Linked DNA regions of Ovis aries. The protein of the gene in region 1 purifies or fractionates together with the protein of each later gene. This does not show direct contact. Links are inferred from orthologs where the notes say so. Each region holds a gene or a part of one and is shown in the gene's direction. Other genes may lie near its edges. The genes, in order: COPE, COPZ1, COPG1, COPG2, SACM1L, COPB1 and ARCN1.

Region 1 (3,500 bases):
AGCCATCCATCTTCAGATGGGAGTCTTCCCAGGCCTGCTTTCTAGGCTTGTACAGACTTAGGCATCAGTGCACGCCCAACCCCGACCCCACTGCAGGCGTCCTCGGACCACCTGGACTGTTGAGCTGCTTCCATTTTGGTCTGCTGAGGCTCGGGTCCTTCCCCATCGGCATGAGCAGCCCAGTGTCCCGTGGTCGGAAGCGTGGCTTCTGCCCCGGCCCCTTCTGTATGGCTCGGGCTGTTTCAGCACTGTTAGTGTCCCCGTCCCTCACCCAGCCGGATGGGAGTGACAGTTGAGCCGCCTTTCCCAGGGGGATGTCCTGGGGGCACAGAATGGGGTGCCCAGCATGCTGCATGCCGTCCGTGGCGGCTGCTCGCCTGTGGCCGAAGGTCCTAAGGGGGCAGAGAGCCAGGGCGGGGACTAGGGCCCAGTCTCCTGGGAAGGCTGCCTGTGGCTGGCCTCTGTGGGGCTGCTGGCCGCACGGCCCCCGCGAGTCCTGACCTACCTTTGCCTCCGCAGCCATCCAGCCCGGAGAGAGACGTGGAGCGGGATGTCTTCCTGTACAGAGCGTACCTGGCCCAGGTGAGCGTGGGCCCTTGACTGTGACTGCCGGTGCCCTGGGACAGGAGAGTCAGGAGCAGAGTGTCGGCGGGGGCAGGAGCCACGCAGCTGGTGTGGCCACTGGAAGTCGGTGACCGCGTCACTGAGGCCCTGCAGCACCAGCTCAGGAGACCGGTGTTGGGATTTCTTGTTTTGTTTTGTTTTTTCCACTTAATTAGTAGATTTTACTCGTTCGGTATGGTTCTGGGTTTACAGATAACCAAGCAGATGATAAAAAGAATTCCAAATCCCAGCCCCACCCCACAGGCATTTTCTCTCATTAACAGTTTGGGTTTGTGGGGTGCTTTTGTTAGAACTGATGCACTGGTATTGATGCCGTTATTAACTAGAGCTGGCAGTTTAGATGCTGCAGTTAAAGTTTTAAAAGCATCGTTGCATGCTGTGCTCAGTCCTGTCCAACTCCTTGTGACCCTATGGGCTGTAGTCCGCCAGGCTCGTCTGTCCATGGGATTTTCCAGGCGAGAGTACTGGAGGGGGAGCCATTTCCTGCTCCAAGGCCTTCCCACCCGGGGACGGAACCCACGTCTCTTGGTGTCTCCTGCATTGGCAGGCGGGTTCTTTACCTGGGTCTTAAAAAGCAGCATTCCCCTGGGACGTAATGCAGTGAGAGTTCATCCCCCTGTTGTATAGACAACCCAGACTCTGCAGAGAGGATTGAACTGTGCCCACCGTGTTCCCACCCCAGGCCCACAGCACGGGTGTGGCCGCCAGCCTCATCCCCTTAGAGCAGCGGGGAGAGGGCAGGCCTGGGCTGCTGTGTGGGGGGCACATGGCTCACAGGTGCCCCCACCTCGCGTCAGGCCTCAGGTGGCTTCCCAGGTCTCTTTGCATCTTTTCCTCTGTGGAGCATTCTAGAACCTGAGGGGACCTCCCCCTGTGGCCCAGGTGCTCCTCCCCGCCACCTCCCACCTCCAGGGTGTGTGTGCCCCCCGTCAGAGTAGGGTGCCCCAGTGCACTGCAGAGTCTGCTCGGATGTGTTCATGTCTGCATGTGTCTTTAAAGATAAACACAGGTAGGGACTCCCCCGGTGGCCCAGTGGTTAAGGCTCTGTGGCTTCCATGCAGGGGTCACGGGTTTGACCCCTGGTCGGAGAACTAAGGCCCCACATACCGTATGGCAAGGCCAAAAAATTCTTTTTTAATAAATTAAAAAAAATGAAACGTGAAGACACGTAGAAGGCAATGAACACACTGAAACTGCCTGGAAAGGAACAGGGAAATGGGTCCCTGATGCCAGTTTCCCTTCGCAGTGACCTCCCTGCTGGGTGTCTGTGGGCAGGCCGAAGCACATGCCCAGATTCCCTGACCCTGTGACCCCCTCCCCTTCACCACCTGGGGCTGTACAGTGACCGGCCAGGGTCTGCAGCTGGAGCAGTGGGCAGTGTGGCTAACGGGGGATGCTGTGGTGGCTCCCGAGGGCCAAGGGGCGTCCCTGGGAGCGGTAGGTACTGGGGCTTCACCAGGGCGATGCTGGCACCAAGCAGCCCTTGTATATTCCCTGGGGTCTGGGACACAGAAACTGCACCGGGAGGTCGGGCAGGGCTGACGGCGTCCGTGTCCTGCCCACAGAGGAAGTACGGCGTGGTGCTGGATGAGATCAAGCCCTCCTCTGCCCCCGAGCTGCAGGCTGTGCGCATGTTTGCGGAGTACCTGGCCAGCGACAGCCGGCGGTGAGGCTGGGGCGCTGTGGGCGGGCCTGGGCGGGCAGGGGGTGTCTGGTGGGCATCCCTGCTGTGCCCTCTGAGCCTTGGTTCCCCTCAGCCGCACAGCGGGGGCAGTGAGGGGCCCTGCTTCCAGGAGGTCTCTGCGGGGGCGGGGGGCCAGAGGTGGGGACTGCACAGCTGCCTAGGGGCTGCGGAAGCCTGGTTGCCCAGAGAGCCCCCCCGGGACGCGCGGCGGGGACCCTCCCCACCTTCCGCTGCTGCTCACCTGAGTTGCGGGGAGGTGCTGGTGGCTGCGCTGCCTGTCATCCATCTCTGCGGACGGGTGGGAGGGCGGACACCGCAGCCTCACTCTGAGCTGCATGTCCGCCTCGTGCCGCTGATCAGCTGTCATCAGACTCCGTCAGGTGGTGGCCGGGAGAGGCGAGGGTCAGGGCTGTAGGGACCCGGAAGCGCTGGGTCTTCCAGGACCAGGCCTGCCTGTTCTCTGCTGCCCGGCGTGGGGTCTGAGACCGCTCACGGTCTGGCCTTTCTGGCTTCAGGTGGCTCCTGCGCAGGCAGGTCTTGGGCTGGGCTGCTCACCCAGGTGCCTGTGAGCTCAGCCTCTGGCTGGGAGCTGTGTGGCCCTGCCTCACCTGTGCGTGGAGCACCAGCCTGATGCAGCAGGCTTTGTGGTCCCCCTGCACCTCGGTTCCCCCCACCCCTGGAAATGGACTGCTCACAAAGCCCCCTGGGATTTCAGAGGTGAAACACCCCCCAGAGGGTGGCTGGGCTAGAAGGCGGGGCAGCACAGCGCATGACAGGGAGATGCTCTGCTCTGGGAGCCGACCCCAGCTGCCTGTCCGAGCTCCGGGGCCTCGCTCACAGCACTGTGATGCCTCGGGGGGTCTCGGGCTCCTCTCCTGAACGCTGCCCCGTGGAGCTTGTTAGACCAGGATGTGGGCCTGACCTCATCGATACTACGCCTCCCTCGCGGGCTGCTGCAGCCCTCTGTGGGTCCCAAGTGTGGATATCTCCTGTGACCCCCACTTCTGCTCCTCATGGAGGGCAGCGCCCCGTGCGCAACCTCCTTTGATCTGGCTCCTTGGTCCATAAAGAGACCTGAGGGGTTTCTTCAAAGAGACTTAAGCAATGGCAGCTGAATGGGGACCCCCAAAAGCTGTGAACCTGACCTCGTTGGAAACGGGCTGTCTGCAGATGTAAGTGGTTAAAGACCTTG
Region 2 (3,996 bases), on another chromosome or scaffold:
AAACCCACAAAAACCTCTGAGGGACAATATAAGGCAATAAGGGCTTCCCTGATGGCTCAGATGGTAAACAATTCAAGTGCGATGCAGGAAACCCAGGTTCCATCCCTGGGCCAGGAAGATTCCTCAGAGAAGGGAATGGCTACTCACTCCAGTATTGTTGCCTGGAGAATTCCATGGACAAGGGAGCTGGTGGGCTACAGCCCATGGGGTTGCAAAGAGTTGGACTCAACCAGCGACTAACACACATATAAGGCAAATAAAGGTGTCCCTGACCTACGAAACGTCAGGGACCAAGAAACTGAAGGGTGAGGAAAGCTAAACTTCATCAAAATCCCTCCCTATTGTGAAATCTCTGCATTCAGTAAACTTCTCTTTTCTCATTGTGCAATGGCTTGTCCCTACTGGAAAACAGCATACCCTGCTCCCTACATCGTTCCTTATCCTGGACCCTTTATTCCTGTGTCCCTCAGCATCCAAAGATCTCAAATCCCGTTTCACGGCTGGCCAAACAAAATCTGCTTTTAGAAAACTCACTAGCTTCTTGTCCTTCCCTGGATCAAGCAAAGTCTGGGACTCCACCTAGGGTAGATTGTTATTTTTAGCAATCAACCTCTAGCGGCCTTCTTTTTATCAAAGTAACACGCTGGTCATCTTGTGGCTTTACTTTATGACTGTGCAGACTTTGAGTATGCTGAAGTGATCTGAGCGAATCTGAAGGAAGAGCTAGTAGTGTTTGCCAAAGCTACCGTGAACATCGGGGACCCAATGGAGGCTCCGGAATGAAGATTCCGGTGGGATTACATCAAGACCTGCCAGTGTGAAGGGCCAAAGAGACACAGCGCCCCCTAAAGGGAGTGCGAATCAAAGTTACTAAATCCGACCGATGATATCACGTGCCCTCCGCCAGGCCAATTGAAAATTAACAATCGCTTCCTCTGTTCCCCATGGAAACAACCCCGCCCCTCTGACCTTCCCTCTCCATTCAGCCTTGAGGTTTTGTCGTTTTATTGAATGTTTAAACTGACAATCAAATACCTGCGCCTTCTGGCTGGACACCTTGCTTCCGCTAAGCAAACTAGTACACTGATTGGTCAATAAAATAATAGATGACATTTGGGCGTCCAATAACCTTCATCCCAGGCGGGATCTAATGAGGACGTAGGGCCAATCAGAGGCGGCGTTGCCTCTGTGGTTCCACGTCGGCACCAGCTGCGGGGCAAGATGGAGGCGCTGATTTTGGTAGGAGCTGGAGGGGCACCCGAGATCCTGCACTGTCCAGGGGGGCCGGGAGTCGGAGTTCAGTCTGAGTGGGAGGGGGTAGAAAGGGGAGTTCCTGGTAATCCTCGGGGTCCGAACGTTTTGCAGGTCCCTGGAATAAGCCTGTGGCCTAGTGCCGGAGCTAAAGCCTCGGTTTAGAGTAGGAAGCTGTGCCGGGGTTAGGGCAGAGTTGGTGGAAAGTTGAAGGGAGCACATGGAGTCCTTAGGACACATAGGATCATAAGCGTACTGGATTGGGGTCCTTCAGATTCTCTCTGATTATGTGCATTGTGGATGATACTGTGATTTGAGTTCCCCCAAATCTCCAAACTCGCCTCGAATTGTAAGAATAGAGTGCAGGTGTTTGTCATCACAGAAAACTTGTCACAGTGCAACTCTCCGTTGATAATTCCCTGTCGTAGACCTTAAAAAAAAAACTATTTTCTTCTTCGATTTCCTACTATGTAGATTTTGTCATCATAAAGAATCAGTATTCCATTAGAGTTCTGGAATACCTGATAAGAGTTAGTGTTGGATTGTGGAATGTTTTTTCAGACTTCTTAATCTGTTCTCCTTTTCCCGGTTCATTTAAATTTTGGGAATTCTTACTATAGTAGGATCTGGGATGCCAACTTTTCTCTGGTTATGTAAGAATTTTGGTGACTGAAGAGGTGTGTTACCTCCCCTGTCCATATAATCCTTTTTGCTTGCTCAAAAAAAAAAAAAAAACAAAAAACTATTATCTCTTCTTTAGAACTGAGCATTTCTCTCAAAAGTGCCCCACCCCTTTCAAACGTGGGGTTGTTAACATATATATGTATGTGTAATGTGTAGGAATTTAACTCCCAGCTTCTTAATTGAATTGAACTCTAGGTTCCTTTTTTACCCCCCTTCAGCTCTTCATATGTACACCTCCAAATCCTCATCAGGTTAAAGAGAATAACAGGTTTCAATATCCCTCTTTCAAAATGGCAAATGCAGGGATTCAGTTCAGTTCAGTCGCTCAGTCGTGTCTGACTCTTTGCAACCCCATGAATCGCAGCATGCCAGGCCTCCCTGTCCATCACCAACTCCCAGAGTTTACCCAAACTCATGTCCATCGAGTCAGTGATGCCATCCAGCCATCTCATCCTCTGTCGTCCCCTTCTCCTCCTGCCCTCAATCCCTCCCAGCATCAGGATCTTTTCCAATGAGTGAATTCTTTGCATGAGGTGGCCAAAGGATTGGAGTTTAGCTTCAGCATCAGTCTTTCCAATCAACACCCAGGACTGATCTCCTTTAGGATGGACTGGTTGGATCTCCTTGCAGTCCAAGGGACTCTCAAGAGTCTTCTCCAACACCACAGTTCAAAAATATCAATTCTTCAGTGCTCAGCTTCTTCATAATCCAATTCTCACATCCATACATGACCACTGGAAAAACCATAGTCTTAACTAGATGGACCTTTGATGGCAAAGTAATGTCTGTGCTTTTGAATATGCTATCTAGGTTGGTCATAACTTTTCTTCCAAGGAGTAAGCGTCTTTTAATTTCATGGCTGCAGTCACCATCTGCGGTGATTTTGGACTCCAAAAAAATAAAGTCTGACACTATTTCCCCATCCATTTGCCATGAAGTGATAGGACCAGATGCCATGATCTTCGTTTTCTGAATGTTGAGCTTTAAGCCAACTTTTTCACTCTCCTGTTTCACCTTCATCAAGAGGCTTTTTAGTTCCTCTTCACTTTCTGCTAGTTTCTTCCAAAAATATGGTTTGTTTAAGTCTAGGTAGAAAGCTTTGAAATCTTACTAAAGATATTTTCTGTACCAACCAGTTAACCAGTGTTCTTAACTAGTTAACAGACTGAGATGAATTCTAGGGAATTGGTTTCTTTGGAAGTTTTAAGAAAATTTTAGACTGCCCCTTAGTTCTGTTTAGAAGGGAGCCTGCTTATAGGTAAAGGAGTGAGGAAGATGATACTCCAGGAGCCCTTTTAACAAGGGATCTGTGTGTAGAGTGACCTGAGTTATATGTGAAAGTCTCTCTCCCTCTCACATTTTCTCTTACTTCAGTTCTTATCTTTGCTTCCATAATGAAGTTTGTTTTGACCTGCTTCTTCCTTATATCCATTTTAATCTTTACCTAAGATGCTTCATTCACAGATCCTTGCTGACCTGATCAGGTATCCCTGAAGTTTGCTTTAGAAACCTTACTGATTCTTTGTCCTGAGGAACCTATGTGATGTGTAAGGGGAAACGAAGATTAAGGGAAAAGGGCTTCCTCGAGTAAGCACAGTCAAAACCAGGATTAGTTTTTGACTCCTAATCCTCCCAGACCTAGTATTTCTCTCATATTATCGTGTGCTTCCACCTCTTCAGTATGCCAAATTGCACATTCAACTATCAGTTATATAAAACGTTAGTTAGGTACAAAGTACCAACTTTCAAAGTACCAACAAAGTACCAATACAAGTTCTTGTCACCAGAGTTCTTAGAATATCATATTAGTAATTTCCTTCCTCTTTGTCTGTGCTTCCCAACATTTTTGTATGTGTGTGCTCATTACTACCTTCAATATATTTTGGGCCCCCAATTAAGAACTTACGTATCTTTCTCTCCATTCCAGCCCTTCTCAACTGGAGTTCCAGGGGAGAATTAAGCCCTAATGCCGTAAGACATCATTGTATGTAATGAATCAATTTCTCTGTATACGCAGTGTCACTAGTTTTATACTATCTTTGGGAAGAGTAAAAAAATAGT
Region 3 (3,500 bases), on another chromosome or scaffold:
TGGGCCGCTGGCGCGGTCGAGGCCTGGAGGACAGGCTGTGGCCGCCTGCCCGCAGAGGCCCCCAACGGCGTGCCTTCCCTCCTGCAGTGGCCTGCACGTTCAGCTGCATGATGAAGTTCACTGTCAAGGACTGCGACCCCACCACCGGGGAGGCGGACGATGAGGGCTACGAGGATGAGTATGTGGTAAGCGCCGGCGGGGCCCGCAGGGCTCACGCCAGCCTGCACGCGTGTGCGCTGGTTTCGGTTTAGACGTCGCAAAAGAGTTCTTGTTTTTAACTTAAAAAATACATGTTCAAGTGTCACAAGAAAACCTGGGAAATAGAAAAACAAGTACACTCAGGCAGGGAAACGTTCACTGTAGCCCTTGGGAATGGCTGCGGGGAGAGAAGCTGTGTCTGATGTCATTACATACATTACAGATCTTGTTGGTTTCCCTTAGAACCAGGGTGTAATTTCCCGTCAGTACAAATACTTCATAAACACAAGTCTTAGTGACTTTAAAATACTCCCTTCTATTGACATATCCTAATTCACCTCACTTTGTATTCCAATAACATTGGGCATTTGTGATTCCAAATTCTCACTGTTTTTGAGTGCTACAGTAAACACCCCTTTCAGTAAAAATTTGTGCCTGTGTTTCAGACCTGTCTTGTGACTGGAAGTAGAATAATTAAAAAAACATTTAAAATAATTAAAAAAACAAGTAGGATAATCGGGTCAAAGACGCAGGACGGTTTCAGGGCTTTTTGGTTCCTGCCATCAGTCGCTTTCTAGAGAGACGGGGTCAGTTTGTGTCTGTCAGCGACCTTCTGACGCAGTGAGGTGCCCCTTCCGGCTCCAGCTCGCGGGGCTAGCACAGAGCCGAGGGCAGGGTCATTCTCGATTTGCCCGGCGTGCGGCGGCTCCCTGCCATCTGAGTGCAGACCCTGACAGGCAGCCTGGGATGGAGACGGCCAGGGCCCTCGTAGCCAGAGGGGCAGTCGCTGGGGCACACCCGATGGGCACTTGTGTCCTCCCGGGTCCAGGCCTGAGCCAGCAGTGCGCGCAGCCAAGGCCAGGAGGGCTGGGTATGAAGCCCGGCTTCTGCCACAGGGGCTGTGTCCTACCTGTGAACGCCCTCCCCGCGCACGGGAGCAGGGGCTCAGCAGAGAGCTGCTGGTGAATGAGCGGGAGCCTTTCCACACAGTCGGTCCAGGGTGCGCGTCCAGAGCGGGCCCGGCTGACTCGGGGCGGCCTCTGAGCACTCCTCCCCACCCCGCCCCATCAAGTCAGGCACTGGCGGCTTCGGAGGGCGCGCTCTCACAGCCAACACCCCGAGAGGAGGACAGGGGCCCCTCCATATCTGTGGGTTCTGCCTCCATGGATCCAACCAACAGACGGAAAATGGAGTGGGTTCCAGAAAATTCGCAAGAGCAAAACGTGAGCTTGTCACACAAGGCAGCTATGTACTTAGCGTTTGCACTGTGTTTACGTCTGTTTCCATGACACTTACATCATATCGGGTATTATAAACGCTTGAGAGGTGGCGCAGAGCATAAGGAAAACGTGCGCAGCTTAAACGCAAACACGGCGCTGCTCCACGTAGAGGACTGGAGCCCCCAGGAGCTCGCTGTCTGAGGGCGCGTCCCGCCGAGGGGCCACCACCCGGCCGTGAGCTGCTGAGGACAGGCCGCTGGTCCGCTGGGGCCCGCCCCGGAGCCCAGCGCTCGGAGCCTGCGCGGTGGGAGGGGCGGGTGGGCAGAGCGGAGCGGAGGCTCTCGCCGTCTCTCCTGGAGCTGTGTGCCTCAGGACCCTCCTATCGCCCCCCAGCTGGAGGACCTGGAAGTCACGATAGCGGATCACATCCAGAAGGTCATGAAGCTGAACTTCGAGGCAGCCTGGGACGAGGTCGGGGATGAGTTCCAGAAGGAGGAGACGTTCACCTTGTCCACCATCAAGACACTCGAGGGTAAATGCTGGGGGTGCCGGCTCTGGTTTGCCTGCCTTTCAAGACCCTTGGCCACTGTTAAAGTGCTCCTCCTCCCCCCGTCCCCGCCCCCGTCCCCCAAAGATCCAGGGCCAAGTCTAGAGCATACAGTTCAGATACACAGAATAATAAAAAAGTCGCTCAGTCATGTCCGACGCTTTGCGACCCCGTGAACAGTGCAGGCCATGGAATTCTCCAGGCCAGGACACTGGAGAGGGTAGCCTTTCCCTTCTCCAGGGGATCTTCCCAACCCAGGGATCGAACCCAGGTCTCCCACACTGCAGGCGGATTCTTCACCAGCTGAGCCACAAGGGACAGTTCAGATGCTGCTCATTAAAAGCTGCATACAGTGGGATTTGGGGCTGGGGGAGTGGTGATAGCGCCAAGTGGAGATGAGCTACGTGGGTTAATAACTCTGGGACTCCTCCCTGCAGAGGCTGTGGGCAATATCGTCAAGTTCTTAGGAATGCACCCTTGTGAGCGGTCTGACAAAGTGCCGGACAACAAGAACACGCACACGCTGCTCCTGGCCGGTGAGTGGCGTTTCTCGTGGGAAGGGCCTGGGTGCCCCTGGGTAACCCGGGGATTTAGGGCTCGCAGCGCGGAACATCACAAGGTATGAGAAGGCCAGCTAGCGCCGTTTTCCCCCGGCGCTTGCTGCCAGTCAGTGTCCCTGCCCACGGGCAGCCAGTGAGCTCCTACACAGGCCTCCAGGCGCCTCCCTGTGATCCTAAGGGTGTGAGAGCAAGTGTGCATGCTGCCCTGTGCAGAGTCAGACAGCCGTATGCAGACGGCGGGCACGCTGCTTTGCACTTGGCTGTTCACTTCACCGTGCATCTTGGAGAGCCTCCTGGTTTTTTTCCTTTTTTTAATAACATGAAATTTACCAATGTAGTGATTTTCACATCAGCTCAGCAGCGTTAAGTACATTCCCGCTGTTTTGCAACTATCGCCATCACCCACCTCCAGAACTTTCCCGTCTTCCCAGACGTCTTCCCAGACTGAGCTCTGGTTGTTTCTCATGGCTGAGTACTGTCTCTCAGAACCAGCACGTGGACTGAGGGACACCTAGGTGGTTCTCGTGTTCTGCCATTACAGACTGCGCTGCAGGGAACAACCCCACACACACGTGTCTGCTTAGGCACTTTATTTTGGATGTGTGCACTCTGGGTATTTGTAGGGTGAGTTTCTCAAGGCTTTACCAGGTCAAAGTGCATCTTTCATCTCGGTAAATATCTCCAGCTGCCTTCCATAGGAATCGTGTGCCTTCTCTCCCACACTTCCAACCGGGCAGCGTGTTCGCAACCTGCGCGGCCTGTGCTGGGCGTGTCCGTGTGTCTCGAGTGGCTTCACTCTGAGTGTCCTGTGTACTGACGGGCGCTCAGCATCTCAAGTGCGATCTGCCATGATTGCTCTCACCCCCTCTGACGTGAAACAGCGCGTGCATTCTATTTATTTCTATAGTTTCCACTGAGTTGGTTATTCCTTTCTGATAGGAATGGGGTTTTTAAGCAGTTCTGGGAATTTTCAAA
Region 4 (4,159 bases), on another chromosome or scaffold:
GGCATCCAAATAAAAGGTTACATAGAAAACTGCTTTGATGGGGGCCACGAAGGCTGGTTAGGAGACTGTCCAAAAAACAGATAGGACCTGAATTAAGGCAATAGCAGTAGGAATAAGAAAAGAGATTTAAGAGATATTTACATGGCATAATGCTTCAGAATAGAGGGGAGGGATGGGAACAGGCCAAGCCCAAACAGAGGCGTCCAAGAAGGGCTGAAATTGAAAGACAATCTGGAAAAAGTGATACTGAAGCCAAAGGTAGCAACAGCTTCTTAGTCACACTCTCAGACAGGAGAACTGAAAATCAACATACATTTTAGGAAAGGGCTAAGAGGAATCTGAACGCACAAGTGAAAGTACCTTAACTTAGTAAGAGTTATGTGTCAATCCCCTGGAGAAGGGAATGGCACCCCACTCCAGTACTCTTGCCTGGAGAATTCTGTGGACAGAGGAGCCTGGTGGGCTATTGTTCATGGGGCCGCAGAGCTGGACACGACTGAGCAACTAACACACACACACACACACACACACACACACACACACACATAAACACACAAGTGTCAAAATGGTCACAGATGGAATCATTTGAAAGGGTGGGGTTAGTTAGGGAAGATCCTAAACTGGTAGTGTTTTAAAGTGTGTCTTGATGAAGGGAAGAATTATAAACAAAGTTGGGAATGGTGGTCAGTGGTCCAAAACCTACCCTTCTTGCTCTGAGTAAAGACCAGCTTTCTCACCCCTCCAAATGGGTCTCTTCATTTTTCACATTATGTGTCCTCCCTTGGGAAGTCCATTTTCACGAAGGTGCCCTGTGCTTTGTTGCAGTCTCCAAGAAGTCAGGGAGCGACTCGCCAACTTCCCAGATGATTTGGGAACCATTAACCCTTTCATCACTCCTGGAGAAGAAGCCCACCAGAACCGCACCAGGAGAGAGCGAGTTCCGCAATGGAAGGGCCCAGCAGTGGTTTATAAAAAGCGCCACTGTCATTAAGTGAAAACAAACCCTGCAGGACCCCCGCTTCTCCAAAGACTGAGGGACCTGCAGAAGTCGCCATCTAGGGCGTGCCAACCAATAAAATTTCATTCTGCCCGCTCCGGGTGTGGGCTGCCGGGTGGCTTGTAGGGCGGGCAGGGGCTAGCCCCCAGCTGCTACCGGTCGCTGTAGGGGCGGAGGTGCGACTCCGGTGGGAACCACCGCTGGCCCCGCCTCCTCCCGGTTTGGGAAGGAGGAGAGGGGGTGGCCACGCCCCCGGGGGCGGTGAGAGCGGCCGGCGCCGGGTAGGGAGGGCGGGCCTTCTTTCCGAGTGACGGGACCGCGGCCCAACCGGCGCCAGAACACCGGACCGGCCTTCCTGCAGCCTCTTCCGCTTGCCGGCTGCGGCGCCTGGGACGGTTGCCGTGGGTCTGGGCGCTGGGAAGTCGTCCAAGATGATTAAAAAATTCGACAAGAAGGACGAGGAGTCTGGTACGCCCGGGGCTCAGCCGCGAGGGCCCCTTCCCCTTCCCCCGCCCCGCCGCCACCTGCTCTCGGGGACTGCGAACCTGGGGGCGTGGGCGCCGGTGTGCCAGGGGGCTGGAGTTGGAGCCCGGCCCCTCCTCCGACCCCGCTCCGCTTCAGCCGGGGGCCTGCCCCTAGCCCCTCCCCCAGGGCTCCGGAGCCTCCCTTCAGGTCGGCGCGCTCGCGCGCGGCCGCCCGCGCGCCGCCTCGGGCTGCTCGGCGGCCCCGCCCCCAGTCCCCCTCCTCTGGCGCCGCCGCTCCTCGGAGCCGCCTTCTCCTCCGCCGGTTCGCCTGGGGTGGGCTTGCCCACCAAAGAGGCGGGCCCACGGCAGGTGGCGGAGGGAGTGAGTGTGCGCTTGCGAGAGGCGGCGGTTGGATGGGGTGGGGTGGGGGCGGGGTACTGATAGTGTACGGCCCTGAGTGGGTCTGGGGTCGACTGGACTGTGTGTGTGTATGAACTTTGTGGTGCTTGTACCTTACAGTCTCCCTGGGGACCTCTGCGCTGTCCGCTTCCCTGGGGGCAAGGCTGTTCCGTGGTACCTAGCTCATTTAATACTCAAGCATCCAAAAGTGAGTTGCATCCTGATACCCATCTTTGGTCCAGAGTAAATGAGGCAGATAGCCAAGTCCCCTCAAAAAAAAAAAAAAAGAAAAAAGAAAAAGTCTCAGTGATTGATAGCTGCTCTCACAAAGCGTGGTCGAGGGTTGGGTTAGTAAACCTCTATGGCCCCTTCAAAGCTTGACGCGTATCTAATTCTCTGATAAACTCTTCTGCCTCCAGCAAAATGTTAGAAATACACAAAGTAGTGCTTTCCTATAGGGAAATCCGAAGAGCCTTACCACAATCTAAATCTCAGTTGTGTGGACATGGCAGATATTTGTAACATTCATATAAAAATAAGGCAGGCCAAGAAGACAAGGTACTCATTTTAGGTAGAGTTTCTGTAAAAGAGAAGTACAGGATCTTACAGGATAGCAGATAGAGCTAATGTCAGAGTCAAAAAGATTTTAATTAATTTGTATGCATATTAGTAATGATTATCACTGTAATATCCAAGTGGACACCTCGCATAGGTGAGATTTCTCAAGCATTTAAAACCCTTCTTAGAAAGTAAATACATCTGTGTATGCCAGCTATTAAAGACATTTTTTCCCCCATAATATAGGTAGTGGCTCCAATCCTTTTCGGCATCTGGAGAAGAGTGCTGTCTTACAAGAGGTATGGCTTGGAAGTATAGTGTGTTTTTTCTTTTCTGTTCCATTTTAGAATGGGGACAGAGCACCTGGAATTCTATGATCCAAAATAAGAATTAAGGAATGTAACTGAGTTCAGAGAATATATACTGGAGGGAAAAAAAAAAAGAGGGGTTACTTGTCATAGGAAAGTCTGGCGTTTATAGAAATGCAAACATTTGTAGACTCTGTCACATGTTGAGAATTTTAAGTAACATAAGGTAGGAGGTGTTTAGTGCAAGGTTTTTGAAGGAAGTTATAGATACTAAGCTCATTGTATTCAAATGATGTAGGTAAATATTGAAATTCTTAGATAAAGTCCACAAGTTGAAGTGGGAGACTTAAGGGAGTGAGTATAGAATGGAAAATCACATCTGATAATTTATTATATACCATAATAAATGGAAAACTATAAGCTAAATTATTTGGATACTATGATTAAAATATATAATAGTCCTAAAAACATATATATAATTGTTTTCATTTTATTTGATTGTCTATAATCTGTGATAGAAAATATACATAGCAGTGTTTTTTGTTTCCACAGGCTCGTATATTCAATGAAACGCCCATCAATCCAAGAAGATGTTTGCATATTCTTACAAAGATTCTTTACTTACTGAACCAGGTAAATTACTGTGATTTTCCTCAGATTTGTGTCTTAGAATAGAAATACATAATGTGCAGTGAAGTTTTTTCTAGGAAGTGTAATTATTAATTTTTTAATAATTCACTTAATTTTAGAATTTGCAGTGTTTGATTAATGTAGTAATATGTAAAATTTGTGGACAAGGAGTATGACATATACTTCTTTCTTATTCATGAGGTACCAAATCAGCTAAGCACACAGTACAATCTCAACATTGATTTGAATTTAACAAGTATTAGTTAATATTCAAACATGTTGTTTAGGTATGTTCAAAGGTCTTTATGTCCCTCCAAAAATATTTTTAAAAAGCTTAGACAAATTCTAGATAGACATTTTATCCTTTTGTGAGGGTATATTAATGCTTTAAAGCTTTCATTTTAATATTCAAATTAAGGAATATAAGCAGGAATATTGTTTTATTGTGCTTCACTTTATTGAATTTTTTTTTTTTTTTTACAAATTGAATGTTTGTGGCAACCCTGTATTGTTAGATGATGGTTAGCATTTTTTAGCAATAAAGTATTTTTAAGTTAAGGCTTGTACATTGTCTTTATTTAGACATAATGCTATTGTACAAAATAGACTACAGTGTAGTATAAACATTTATATGCAACATTTATATGTATAAATGTATAAATTTATATGTATAGATAATATAACATTATATGCACTGGGAAACCAAAAAATTCCTGTGATGTGCTTTATTATAATATTTATTTTATTGCCATGGTCTGGAACTGAACCTACAGTATCTGCAAGGTATGCCTTTGTTTGTTTAT
Region 5 (3,500 bases), on another chromosome or scaffold:
TCAGAGGATATTTTTCAACAGAAACCATATTGAGACTGGTTGCTTCCAAGGCTGGCTAACAGAAATCTATTGGACTGGGTTCTGTAATCTGTATTTAACTAATTTACATGCTAAAAACAGTCCTATGGAAGCTCAGCAGCCTGCAGAGAGCCTGGGGGCAGGAGCCTCTCCAGCCTCAGGGCCCGCTGACGTGGGGCCTCCAGCTGTGCCTCTCCCCTTCCAGAGAGGGCCGGTCACTGGGGTGGGCAGGCCCTGTGCTGGGGGAGTGAGGGAGAGGCCATCGGAGGCGAGCAGTGAGGATAGTGGCTCTAAGAGGGTTGCGGGTCCGAAACAAAGGCCAAGGTAGGAGTCCAGTCCGTGGTCAGTGAACTCCACAGGGGAGTCCGCAGAGAGACTCGGGCTGCCCGGGGTCCTGTGAGATGATATGCAGAGGGCTGTGCTTCTGTGCAATTTGTGGCGAGGGAGGGGGTAGCATTCCTCTAGTTCTCAAAGGGCCCCTGGCTAGGGGTAAGTGCGGAGGTCAGCAGTCTGGGTGGTGAATTGAGGCGGGCACAGGGTCCAGGTGATGGGAGGTTGGGGGCGGGGGCAGGGAAGGAGGGAGCACTGACTGCATACTCCCCGCCTTTACCTCTGCCCCTGTCTCTGGGTTTACCCAGTCCTGCTGCGGGTGCTGTGGTCTGGGGCTCAGCGGGGAGAGGGGCTGTGGGCGGATGGGAGCCCAGAGAGAGGCTTTGCAGCCGGGCTAAGCAGCGGAGGGCTGTGTTACAGGGAAAACATCTGGCTGAAGCCAGCAAGCACGTGAGACTCTGTGGAGACTATGCTGAAATCTGTAACGTGTAAACATGGGTATGATTCTTATTCCAGAGACTAGGAGTTTTGCATGTGGGACAAAAGCTTGAAGAACAAGATGAATTTGAGAAGATTTACAAAAATGGTAGGTCATTTCTTGAACAGAGGCAAGGTCATTCAAATGTTGAAATAAACATTTTGGATTTAGAGCATTGGTTGTCAGTGGTTATTAACTGATTTTTCCTCTTTTTGCCCCTCCACAGCCTGGGCTGACAATGCAAATGCTTGTGCCAAACAGTACGCGGGAACCGGTGCCTTGAAGACTGACTTTACCAGGTGAGCCGCGCGCTGGGCCGCACACTCCGGTGCATGGCAGATCGCTCGCGCAGCTTTCACCCAAGAGCGCCCGCCGGTGCCCGGGCCTCGCTCCAGGCCGTCAAGCTGGGACTCGGGGGAGATGAGGCCCAGGCAGCGGTGGCTTGTTAGCGTCCCTGGGTGATTCTGGCGCACAGTGGGGTTGAGCACCAGGGCACCTCAGCTCCTCTCAGCCACCTACTGTGGCTGACTCACCCCACGCCCATTCAGCAGGTCTGGGAGGGGCCTGAGACTATGTGCTTGCGTGATGCTAGAGCTGGTTTCAAGGACCGCACTGGGTAGTGAGAGGTTGGAATGTTTTGAATTTGTTACAGATGTGGTTGGGTCTTTTTCTGCTGTATGGATTCCCTGGGAGCAAGATAAGATTTCTAGTCTGTTCGCTTTATACCACTTAGCCTGGGCTGTGTGTTTCTCTTCTTGTTTCTTATCTTTGCAAGGGGAACTGAGCATGTTTCCTCTTTGTGTCTACTGTGATAATGCTTTAGAAAGAGGATGCAGATTTCTTGGAGTCAGTACAGTTTCTTTTGTGAGATGTCTCCTTTATATATTCAAGGATTTTAAAAAAGAAATCTTTATAATTTACTTATCTCCTTACCATGTAGTTATTGGCTATAAACAGTGTGAGAATTTAATATGCAAATCTGTAACTCAAAACTTAACCTCTTATTTAACTAGAACTGGGAAGAGAACTCAGTTGGGACTTATAATGGATGGCTGGAACTCATTAATACGGTATTACAAGAACAACTTTTCTGATGGATTTAGACAAGTAAGTTAGTTTTCTCATGCTAATTTGTGGTTATTTGGTGGCTGTGTTTTTGTACTGTTCCCCATACCTAATTTGGGAGTTATTATTTTCCTTTTTTTCTCTTCTAGGATTCCATAGACTTATTTCTTGGGAACTATTCAGTGGATGAATTAGAATCTCATAGTCCTTTAAGTGTTCCAAGAGATCTGAAGTTCCTGGCTGTAAGAAACCTTTATGTTTTTTAAGTTGTTAATAGAGTTGTGACTGAAGGTACAGATGGTCCAACACCCCTTGACATAAAACATTATGTGTTGTTCTAAATGGAATATAAATACTTATGTTGCCCCAAGGAGCAGGTCAGGGAGAAGAGTGAGGTAACTTTGGAATGTTGTCCTCTCTCAAACTTGACTGTCTTTTGCAGCTCCTTTATTGTGTTGTTTTGTTCATTTTTACAGTGTTGTCTTGGTTTCTGCTGTGCAGCAGTGTGCAGCAGCCATAATTATACACACAGCCCGTCTCTGCTGCGCCTCCCTCCCCTCCCGGCATCCGGCCGCCTGCAGCTCAGCGCAGACGGCCGTGGGCTCCCTGTGGCTCCCCGCGGCTCACCACCAGCTCCCATTTTGCACACGATCATGTGTGCACGTCGGTGCTACTTCTCCACTCGTCACAGCCTCTCCCTCCCTGACGGCACCCACATGCCTCTCCTCTCCACCTGTATTTCCTGCCCTGCAGATAGGTTCATCAGTACCATTTTCTAGATTCCACATATATGGGTTGATACGTAGTATCTGTTTTTCTCTTTCTGGCTTCACTCTGTAGAACAGCCTCTGGGCTCATCCACCTCACTAGAGCTGACTCAGGTTTGATCTTCTTTTATGGCCGAGTGATACTCTGTTGTATATATGCACCACATTTTGAAAAATCTATAAACAGTAAATGCTGCAGAGGATGTGGAGGAAAGGGAGCCCTCCTTCACTGTTGGCAGGAATGTTAGCTGCAGCGATTATGGAGAAAAGCATGCCGTCCTTAAAAGCTAGGAATGCATCCACTGTGTGACCCAGCAGCCCCGCTGTTGGGCATGTGCCCTGAGAAACCACAGCTGTGAAAGACACGCACGCCGGCGTCCACTGCAGCGCCGTTTACCGTAGCCTAGACGCAGAAGCGCCTAGACGTCCAGCTGCAGATGCTGTTTAAGTGAGAACACAGATGCGGAACAGGTGTGGGGCTCTCTTGTTTCAAGGAGACTCTGCTCCCCCCGAGGTTCAGCGGTTGCTGGAGGCAAACTTGCGATGTAGAAGTCAATGTATGTGTTTGACACGTCTCTCGTATTTGACTCATTCACCAGACTTTGCAAGAGCCTCTCTGGGGTTTGACGCCAGCGGGCAGGGTGTCCTGGAGTCGGGGGCCTAGAGTCTGAGTACACATCTGGGTGACCTCCTTCCACTTTCTTTTAATCTGTTTGAAGATTTGGACAGTTACGGTCAAAACTCTAATGATGTTGTGCTGAAAGGTATTTTGTATTTAGATGCAGACGGGTTCTGTTGTCTCTCAGGGAAGCTGATTTTGCAACCATCGATTAGCATCTTAC
Region 6 (3,500 bases), on another chromosome or scaffold:
TGCACCCACTGCCATCAAGGTACTGTCCTTTTTTGTGTGTCTGTGTGTCAGTTAGATGATAGACATGCTGTCTTCTCACTTGATGTAGTAACCTTACAATCAACTACAAATTTTAGAAAATTCTTTGATTTCCAGTGTAGTCCAACCTTCTTTTCTTACTTTCTGCTTTCATATGTATATAAAGAGTAAAAGTGACAGAATAGCAGTATTTGTAGTTTCTGGAGCATGATACTGGTATTTTAAGATCTCCACCCCATACTTCAGTTACATTAAGAACTAGATCTGGGGAAATGGATGCTGAATCCTAAATAATGTACCCTAAAACAGTTCCAGTGAATGTTTTTGATAATGAAATATTTTAATATACTGTCAAGGCTATGTGAGGAACCCTACTCTATTCATAGAATGAATTATTGTAGAAAACCAGATTGTATAAATAGGGGAATTTAGTGCTTTTACCACCAATACTTAAAAAATTCTTTTTTAATGTGTTATTTTGAAATAATTTTAAACTTACAGAAAAGTTGCAAAAATAGGTCAAAGTTCCCATTACCCTTCACCCAGCTTCCCATGATGTTCATGTCTTGCATAACAATTGTGTAGCTGTCAAAGTTAAAATTGTCGTTGGAACAATATTGTTAACTAAACTATAGACTTTATTCAGATTTCATCAGTTATCCTACTAAAGTTCATTCTCTGTCCCAGAATTCAGTCTAGGATCCCATGTAACACTAAGTTATCATGTGTCCGTGTCCTTCTAGTCTGGGATAGTTCCTCAGCCTTTCCTTGTTTTTCATGATATTGATACTTGTGAAGAGTACTGGGTCAGTTTGTTTGTAAAATATCTCTTAATTGGTTTGTATGGCATTTTCTCCTCATTAGTTTAATGTGCAAATATTTTAGGGAAGTACCACAGAAGTGGTACACCATTCTCAGTGTATCCTATCCTACATGATGCTGATATACCTTATTACTGGTGATGTTAAACTTGATCATTCAGTTAAGGTGGTCTCTGTCAGATTTCTCTACTGTTGACTTATGATTTTTCCTTTTGTAATCAATAAATATTTTGAGAACATACCTAGAAACTCTGCAAATATCCTATTTCTCCTCAGACTTATACCCAGCTAATTTAGACACATATCAGTAGATCTTTTCTATAGCAGTTTCTATTATGATATTCTAATGGTGATTTTTTGTTACCCTCATTCTACACTTACTATTTGGAGTTCTGCAGGGAGGAGCTGTCCCTTCTCCTTCATTCTTTCTTCCCTTCCTCCCTCTCTCCTTTCCTTCTTTCCTTCCTTTTCTTCTTTATATCAGTATGGATGTTTTATGCTATGGATTATAGTCCAGTATTATTATTTTGTTGATCAAATTGTCCTAGCTTTAGTCATTAGGAGCTCTTTCAGATTTGCATCTTTGCCCTTTACTTTTAATGACTCAGAGCCATCTTTATATTCTTGATTTTTTCTGTTCTGTAATGCAAGTGGGTTAGGGTTTGTACCTAAACTTAAAAGTTGCTTAGTAGCCAAACTGTTTGGGATTCTCTATCTGCTTTTTTCTGCCTTGTTCCTTAGGTTCAGCCCTTAATTTTTGGCTGTTAATGAGGGTTTCTGGCTGTAACAACCTCTTCTCATCCTTTTAATTTGTGATGCTTCCAATTTTTTGTAATTAAAAAAAAAAAGAAATTTGTTAGAACTTGGGTAGTAGAGGGACACATTCCTCTGAGAAAAATGCATAAATTTTCAGTGTAGGATAGTGAATGTATTTTGGCTTCTTGGAGGCTTTACTTATTTTCAGATTCTATGTTTAAGATAGATGAATGTGTTCTTAAAATGTATTTCTTTTTTTTACATAGGCTGCTGCTCAGTGTTACATTGATTTAATTATTAAGGAGAGTGACAACAATGTAAAGCTTATAGTTCTAGATCGATTGATAGAATTAAAAGAACATCCTGCTCATGAACGAGTACTACAGGTAAATATTTCTGAAACAGAGAAATCCTAAATAGAATCTTCTTTCAAATTGAAATAATTCCCAATACTTTTCATCTTGGTTAGCTTAAATGCTTGGAGATTTGGTGGTTTAAATTTTGATCAACTAAAATATAACTCCTGAAGCACTGTAGCCTTTTGGGGTATTGTCTTTGTTATTAAAAATAATTTCTAACATGAATTAATGTGTTACATTTTATCTTTTCTGTTTGTACTGCACTTGGTGTTCTTACAAGTAGAGATATATTTGTTTTAGTTTTAATTTACATTTTTTGCAAAGTAATTAACACCAACGGAGAATGAAAGATTATTAGATTCTAGAAAATTATCAATATACCTGTTTAATCTGTGACAATGATTATTACAAAACTAAAGCCCCATGATAAAAATAAAGCTACGTTCAATGCTGATCCTGGATCAGTAACAACAAAAACATTTTCTATAAAGGACATTATTGGGAAAGTTGGGGAAATGTGAATGCAAACTCTGTATTAGTTAATAGTATCATTAATCAGTGTTAAGTTCTCTAAATTTGATAATTGTGTTATATAGGAAATTTTTCTTACTCTTGGGTATACAGTGAAACATTTCGGAGTATAGAGAATAAGACACAGCAAATGTGGTGAGATATTAACAACTGGTATATATAAGTAATGGTTGTAGAGGAGTTTATCCTTAAAAATTTTAGAACATTTTTATCAGAATTTTTTAAAAAAATAAAGTTTTAAAGAAGTGAAATATTTTGTTTTGCTATATTTGAAAACACTTGCTATAGAATTTTAAGTATGCCTCTTTAAAATATTAGTTTCCTGCAGAGCCAAAATAACATTATCGCACTTAACAAAATTGTTAATGAATCATCCAATTTTCCCAGATATTCCTAAAACACTCTTTTGGTTTGATTTTTCCTATTTATAGCCATACATCACACTTGGTTGTGATGTATGTAATTGTGATGTGTGGTTCCTTGAGTCTCTTAATTTGAACAGTATCATTTTTTCAGAACACTGACTTGTTTGAGAGACTCCTCCTGGATGTATCTGGTTACTTTTTTTGGTGTCATTTAGCTTGTTGCTCTGATTTCTGTATTTCCTATAAACTGCACGTTTGAGCTAAAGCTTGACAGAGTAAACATGTTCAGTTTGAATGCATCATATGTGATACTACATACTTCATGTTGCCTTACATCAGGCAACTCAAATTATCTGTTTTGTCCGACAGTAGTGATTTTATTATTGATCAGAGAATTAAGGTCATGATAGAACCCTCTATTCTGCAGTTAAGATTTTCTTCTTGTGACCAGAAATACTGATATTAATTCTAGATTATTTCTATTCTTTTTTAGGATCTGGTTATGGACATCCTAAGAGTATTGAGCACACCAGACTTAGAAGTACGCAAGAAGACTCTGCAGTTAGCACTGGATCTTGTCTCCTCTAGGAATGTTGAAGAGGTAAAACAAAATTCTGACAGCACTTTGTAAGCTGTCAAGTCAAACATGA
Region 7 (4,211 bases), on another chromosome or scaffold:
AAGACTCCATGCTTCCAAAGCAGGGGACACAGGTTCTATCCCTGGTGTGGAAGCTAAGATCCCCCATGCCTCTGCTGTTGCTGCTGCTAAGTCACTTCAGTCATGTCCGACTCTGTGCGACCCCATGGATGGCAGCCTACTAGGCTCCCCCGTCCCTGGGATTCTCCAGGCAAGAACACTGGAGTGGGTTGCCAATGCCTCTAGGCGCAGCCAAAAAAAAGAACAAAAACCAAATCTCATTCTCTGTTTCCCTCCTCCTCCAGTCCCTTGCAGCCCTACTTTCCGTCTCTATGTATTTGTATGTTCTGAACAATTTATATAAACTGGGTCATGTAAGATGTGGTTTTTTATAACTGGCATTTTTCACTTAACATAATATTTTCTAGGTTCATCCATGTTGTGCCATATGTCATTACTTTATTCCTTTTTGTGACTAACATTCCATTGAGTAGATATACTACATTTTGTTATTCACTCATCAATTGATGGGACAGTTGGACTGTCTCCATTTTTTACTATTATGAATAATGCTTATATGAACATTAGAATACAAATTTGTGTGTGGAATATACCTTTTTGGGTTGTGCTGGGTGTTCATTGCTGCTGTGAGTGGGCTTTCTCTAGTTTTGGAAAGGAGGGGCTACTCTTTGTTGAGGTGCCCAGGCTTCTCATTGCAGTGCTTCTCTTATTCCGGAGCACAGGGTGTAGTTGCCCTATGGGATCAAACCCATGTCCCCTGCATTGACAGGTGAATTCTTTGGATATGTGCTTTTAATTCTCTTGGATATATACCTAGGAGTGGTATTGCCACAGTAACACTATGTTTAATTTTTTAAGGAACTGCCAAACTGTTTCCCAAAGCAGCAGCACTAGTTCATGCTTCCACCAGCAGTGTATAAGGGTTTAATTTTCCCATATTCTCATCAACACTTATTATTACAACCATCCTAACGGATGTGAAGTGGGGTTCTCTAAAGATTAAAGATGTTGAGCATCTTTTTACGTGCCTACCGGTCATTTATATACCTTTTTTAGAGAAATGGCTATTTTAGCCATTTAAAAATCGGATTAGTTGTCTTTCAATTGTTGAATTTTAAAAGTTCTTTGTATATTCTGGCTACTAGTCCCTTATGAACACCAGTTATCGTGTATATCAAATGATACGGTCTCTTTGAGAGCTTTATGAACTGCAGGAGATGTCGCAAGTTAACCAAAAGCGCTGACGAACACGGAAGGGAGAGAAGCCTACGGTTCCACGTTGGAGGTCGAGCCCCCAGGCATCCCCAGCACAATCTGCGTTGCAAGCCGTCGCCCACAGTCTCTCCACCTCACGGCGCCCCGCCCCCCGCCCTTTGACCCGCGCCGTTTCCGGTTGGAGACGTGGCTCGAGGACGCCATCTTGGTAAGAGGCGAGTCGGCGGCGCTCCTGTCAGGGGGGCAGCAGGTCCGGAGCGGCCGGTCCTCCCCTTCCCCCGACCCCAGCCCTAGCCGCAGTGGAGCCGGAGCGCGCGGGTGCGCCCCACCACCGCCGTCACCATGGTAAGACTCGAGCCGGGCTCAACTCCCGCGTCCGGCCTTGCTCGACCGTTCTTCCTGCTACCGGCCTGTGCTGGGGCTGGAGGAGCCCCGCCCCAAGGGCCGGGAGCCGAACACTTCCTCGGGGCTCTGGGGGCTTCTCCACCCTGGGATCGACTCCCCAGGAGATCCAAGGGACCTGACTGCAGTCCCTCTAGGGTCGCGCCCACACCCCTCCCCCGCCATCAGCTAGGCACCCACCTCTGCCGGGATCCGGGCCCTAAAGCGGGCTCGGGGTTTTTGCTCTGCAAGAACCTACCTCTTAGTGATGGGTCTTGGACCCCACGCTGCGGACCTGGCCTCTGGTGTCCAGCAGGTTCAGTGGGTGCCTCGGCGCCCCAAGCTGGGCTTCTGTCAGGGATTTACTTCGTTCTGTAATCAACTCACCTCTCATCCCCGGTGTTCCGTAGGCCGTGGATGTTTGAAATCTAAATCATTAGTGTTGAGGACTTTTTCTTTAATTTGTTCGAAAGGGAGAAATAGAAGCAAGTGGATAGGGAGGCACAGAACGGGAAGGAGTAACTTCTGACAGTGATATGGCACTAATTGTAGGACCCAGCTAACCCAGAAACCTGCTACCCGCTTCTGTAGATCTTAGGTGTGTCCATTTGTTGGTGTGATTGGGTATACTCTGTGTATAGAGCATTGGGAAGATGCGAGCCAGTCATGGAGAACACAGGTTTTCTGTCTTCAAGGAGCTTATAGTTCAGGTGAAGTGTGGATGTGGCATACGGTAATCAGATGTCTCACAGGAGTGAGAGGGATTTATTCTTTGGGACCTGTTACTTGCCTTCAGTTGAATTATCTTCGTGTTCTCATCTGTGGTGGTGGTGGTTAGTGGCTAAGTTGACTCTTCGGGGATCACAAGGACTACCAGGTTCCTCTGTCCAGGAAGAATGCTGGAACGGGTTGCCATTTTCTTCTCCCATCTCATCTGTAGTAGAGACGGTTAAAATTAATGTTTGTGAGAGATGAAACAAAACACAGTGCTCACTCCACTACATCTGGCTTCATCACTACGATTTGTGAATGTTTATGAAGTAGGAGAAGTTTTTTGGTTCCAAACAAGCTAGTAATTTTTAATCTTTGAAGGATGTACTTTTCTTATTTCTCTTTTTGTCACTAGATTAATAATTTGATTTAAAACATCTTCCTACGCACTTCATAGATGACAGTATAATTTGGTGCCAATTATACCAAGTTCTGTTCACAACCTTTTTAGATGAAAACTTGGTGAGGAGATTCAGGCTTGGACTTTAAATCACTTAACAGTTTTTTTCAGCTTCAGGCATATAAATTGCATCAAGCAGGTTTGTCTCATAAAACTTTTATGTTGGACATAAAATTTCCAAAAACTCCTTTCTTCATTTCCACTAGGAGGCTTAGTATTCGGGTAGTGATTTTAAAACTAGATTCTTTTTACATCTTGGATGTACATGTAGTGCATTTCAATAACATTAAAAGCAAAATTAAAGGCTTTATTATATAAACCAAATGTAGATAATCTTAACAAAAACCTTGTTTGTTGAAAAGTTTGGGAATGTCCTGCTGCTTTTTTCCCTAGTAGTATTTTTAATTCATCAATAACCAGAGGGCCCATAGGACCCTAGGTGTTACATGGTAAACATAAAAACATTAATTGCATGTTATTTGGACACTACATATACATACGGTTGTGTCACATTTAAATATGCCTATAGTTCTGAATTATTTGGAACTTGGCGTGATCCAGATACCTACAGATTTGTGTACTCTGGAGAACAACTTATCTCAGTACATTCTGCTCTGTTGAGTCTTAAGGCATTATTAAGTATTTTTCTGTGTAATATTTATGGGTTCCGTTCCTTTACAAAGAGATCCCTGGACAAAGAAATGTCCAAATAGGGTAACATTTTGCAAAGATTTCTTGAATCTAAAAGCTGTATCCAGAGTTCTAAAAGTTGATCTATAATAAAATTTTCAAACATGTAAGAAAGTTGAGAGCTTTACAGTGAACACCCATGTAATCACCAGCTAGTCTGTAATTAACATTTCACTATTTTTGCTTTATCACACATCTAATTATTCACCCATCCTGTGGTCATCTTTTTTTTAATGCATTTTAGGGGCTTCACTGGTGGTCCAGTGGCTAAGATTCCATGCTCCCAATGCAGGGGGCCCGGGTTTGATCCTTGGTGAGGGAACTAGATCCCACATGCTGTAATTAAGAGCTCATATAGCCAAATAAATAAATATATATATATAAATGCACTTTAAAATAAATTGTAGATATCAGTATGTAAATGTTGGTTTTTGAATAGTAAATTTCCTTTAGCTTTAGTGACTGAACTTGGTGCAAAATGTCCTACACTGCAAAGTCTTAGTAGAGAAATAAAATGAACAAATGGAAAAAAATAATGATTTATGATGACTTTGTTATAAAATCAAGTACAAAAAAATCTTTTTTTAAAATCTTTTTTCTAGTTTTCATCAAATTAATGAGAATATGTCTTATTTTCTTAACATTTGTCAGGTATCATTATAGTCAGTTTTTTTCCTTAATAAATTAATATTTGAATGAACTTGATATTAAGTCTCATTGTAGCCCTAATCTGTGAAGTCTTTGCTTATCTACAGAGTGCTATTCTTTTCTTATT

What was found.
Region 2: the proteins of COPE (region 1) and COPZ1 purify together in Homo sapiens (affinity purification with mass spectrometry; 3 studies listed by BioGRID and IntAct, with this or other methods). This does not show direct contact. The link is inferred for Ovis aries from reciprocal best matches to the Homo sapiens genes COPE and COPZ1.
Region 3: the proteins of COPE (region 1) and COPG1 fractionate together in Homo sapiens (co-fractionation; 6 studies listed by BioGRID and IntAct, counting the BioPlex papers as one, with this or other methods). This does not show direct contact. The link is inferred for Ovis aries from reciprocal best matches to the Homo sapiens genes COPE and COPG1.
Region 4: the proteins of COPE (region 1) and COPG2 purify together in Homo sapiens (affinity purification with mass spectrometry; 5 studies listed by BioGRID and IntAct, with this or other methods). This does not show direct contact. The link is inferred for Ovis aries from reciprocal best matches to the Homo sapiens genes COPE and COPG2.
Region 5: the proteins of COPE (region 1) and SACM1L purify together in Homo sapiens (affinity purification with mass spectrometry; 4 studies listed by BioGRID and IntAct, with this or other methods). This does not show direct contact. The link is inferred for Ovis aries from reciprocal best matches to the Homo sapiens genes COPE and SACM1L.
Region 6: the proteins of COPE (region 1) and COPB1 purify together in Homo sapiens (affinity purification with mass spectrometry; 6 studies listed by BioGRID and IntAct, with this or other methods). This does not show direct contact. The link is inferred for Ovis aries from reciprocal best matches to the Homo sapiens genes COPE and COPB1.
Region 7: the proteins of COPE (region 1) and ARCN1 purify together in Homo sapiens (affinity purification with mass spectrometry; 4 studies listed by BioGRID and IntAct, with this or other methods). This does not show direct contact. The link is inferred for Ovis aries from reciprocal best matches to the Homo sapiens genes COPE and ARCN1.

Annotation. Positions count from the first base shown.
Region 1 is NC_056058.1:4,117,289-4,120,788, forward strand, and holds part of COPE (coatomer subunit epsilon), read left to right. Parts: intron 1-519; coding exon 520-582; intron 583-2,189; coding exon 2,190-2,290; intron 2,291-3,500. UniProt on the Homo sapiens protein: The coatomer is a cytosolic protein complex that binds to dilysine motifs and reversibly associates with Golgi non-clathrin-coated vesicles, which further mediate biosynthetic protein transport from the ER, via the Golgi up to the trans Golgi network.
Region 2 is NC_056056.1:132,224,513-132,228,508, reverse strand, and holds the start of COPZ1 (coatomer subunit zeta-1), read left to right. Parts: upstream 1-1,196; 5' UTR 1,197-1,221; coding exon 1,222-1,239; intron 1,240-3,862; exon of another isoform or gene 3,863-3,919; intron 3,920-3,996. UniProt on the Homo sapiens protein: The coatomer is a cytosolic protein complex that binds to dilysine motifs and reversibly associates with Golgi non-clathrin-coated vesicles, which further mediate biosynthetic protein transport from the ER, via the Golgi up to the trans Golgi network.
Region 3 is NC_056072.1:59,032,435-59,035,934, forward strand, and holds part of COPG1 (coatomer subunit gamma-1), read left to right. Parts: intron 1-87; coding exon 88-185; intron 186-1,811; coding exon 1,812-1,950; intron 1,951-2,402; coding exon 2,403-2,501; intron 2,502-3,500. UniProt on the Homo sapiens protein: The coatomer is a cytosolic protein complex that binds to dilysine motifs and reversibly associates with Golgi non-clathrin-coated vesicles, which further mediate biosynthetic protein transport from the ER, via the Golgi up to the trans Golgi network.
Region 4 is NC_056057.1:96,089,689-96,093,847, reverse strand, and holds the start of COPG2 (coatomer subunit gamma-2), read left to right. Parts: upstream 1-1,359; 5' UTR 1,360-1,428; coding exon 1,429-1,465; intron 1,466-1,980; exon of another isoform or gene 1,981-2,068; intron 2,069-2,664; coding exon 2,665-2,717; intron 2,718-3,278; coding exon 3,279-3,359; intron 3,360-4,159. Other genes in the region: TSGA13 (testis-specific gene 13 protein), read left to right, coding at 826-995. UniProt on the Homo sapiens protein: The coatomer is a cytosolic protein complex that binds to dilysine motifs and reversibly associates with Golgi non-clathrin-coated vesicles, which further mediate biosynthetic protein transport from the ER, via the Golgi up to the trans Golgi network.
Region 5 is NC_056072.1:53,562,617-53,566,116, reverse strand, and holds part of SACM1L (phosphatidylinositol-3-phosphatase SAC1), read left to right. Parts: intron 1-864; coding exon 865-934; intron 935-1,052; coding exon 1,053-1,125; intron 1,126-1,839; coding exon 1,840-1,933; intron 1,934-2,040; coding exon 2,041-2,133; intron 2,134-3,500.
Region 6 is NC_056068.1:37,993,661-37,997,160, forward strand, and holds part of COPB1 (coatomer subunit beta), read left to right. Parts: coding exon 1-19; intron 20-1,861; coding exon 1,862-1,981; intron 1,982-3,343; coding exon 3,344-3,451; intron 3,452-3,500. UniProt on the Homo sapiens protein: The coatomer is a cytosolic protein complex that binds to dilysine motifs and reversibly associates with Golgi non-clathrin-coated vesicles, which further mediate biosynthetic protein transport from the ER, via the Golgi up to the trans Golgi network.
Region 7 is NC_056068.1:28,962,178-28,966,388, forward strand, and holds the start of ARCN1 (coatomer subunit delta), read left to right. Parts: upstream 1-1,411; 5' UTR 1,412-1,536; coding exon 1,537-1,539; intron 1,540-4,211. UniProt on the Homo sapiens protein: Component of the coatomer, a cytosolic protein complex that binds to dilysine motifs and reversibly associates with Golgi non-clathrin-coated vesicles, which further mediate biosynthetic protein transport from the ER, via the Golgi up to the trans Golgi network.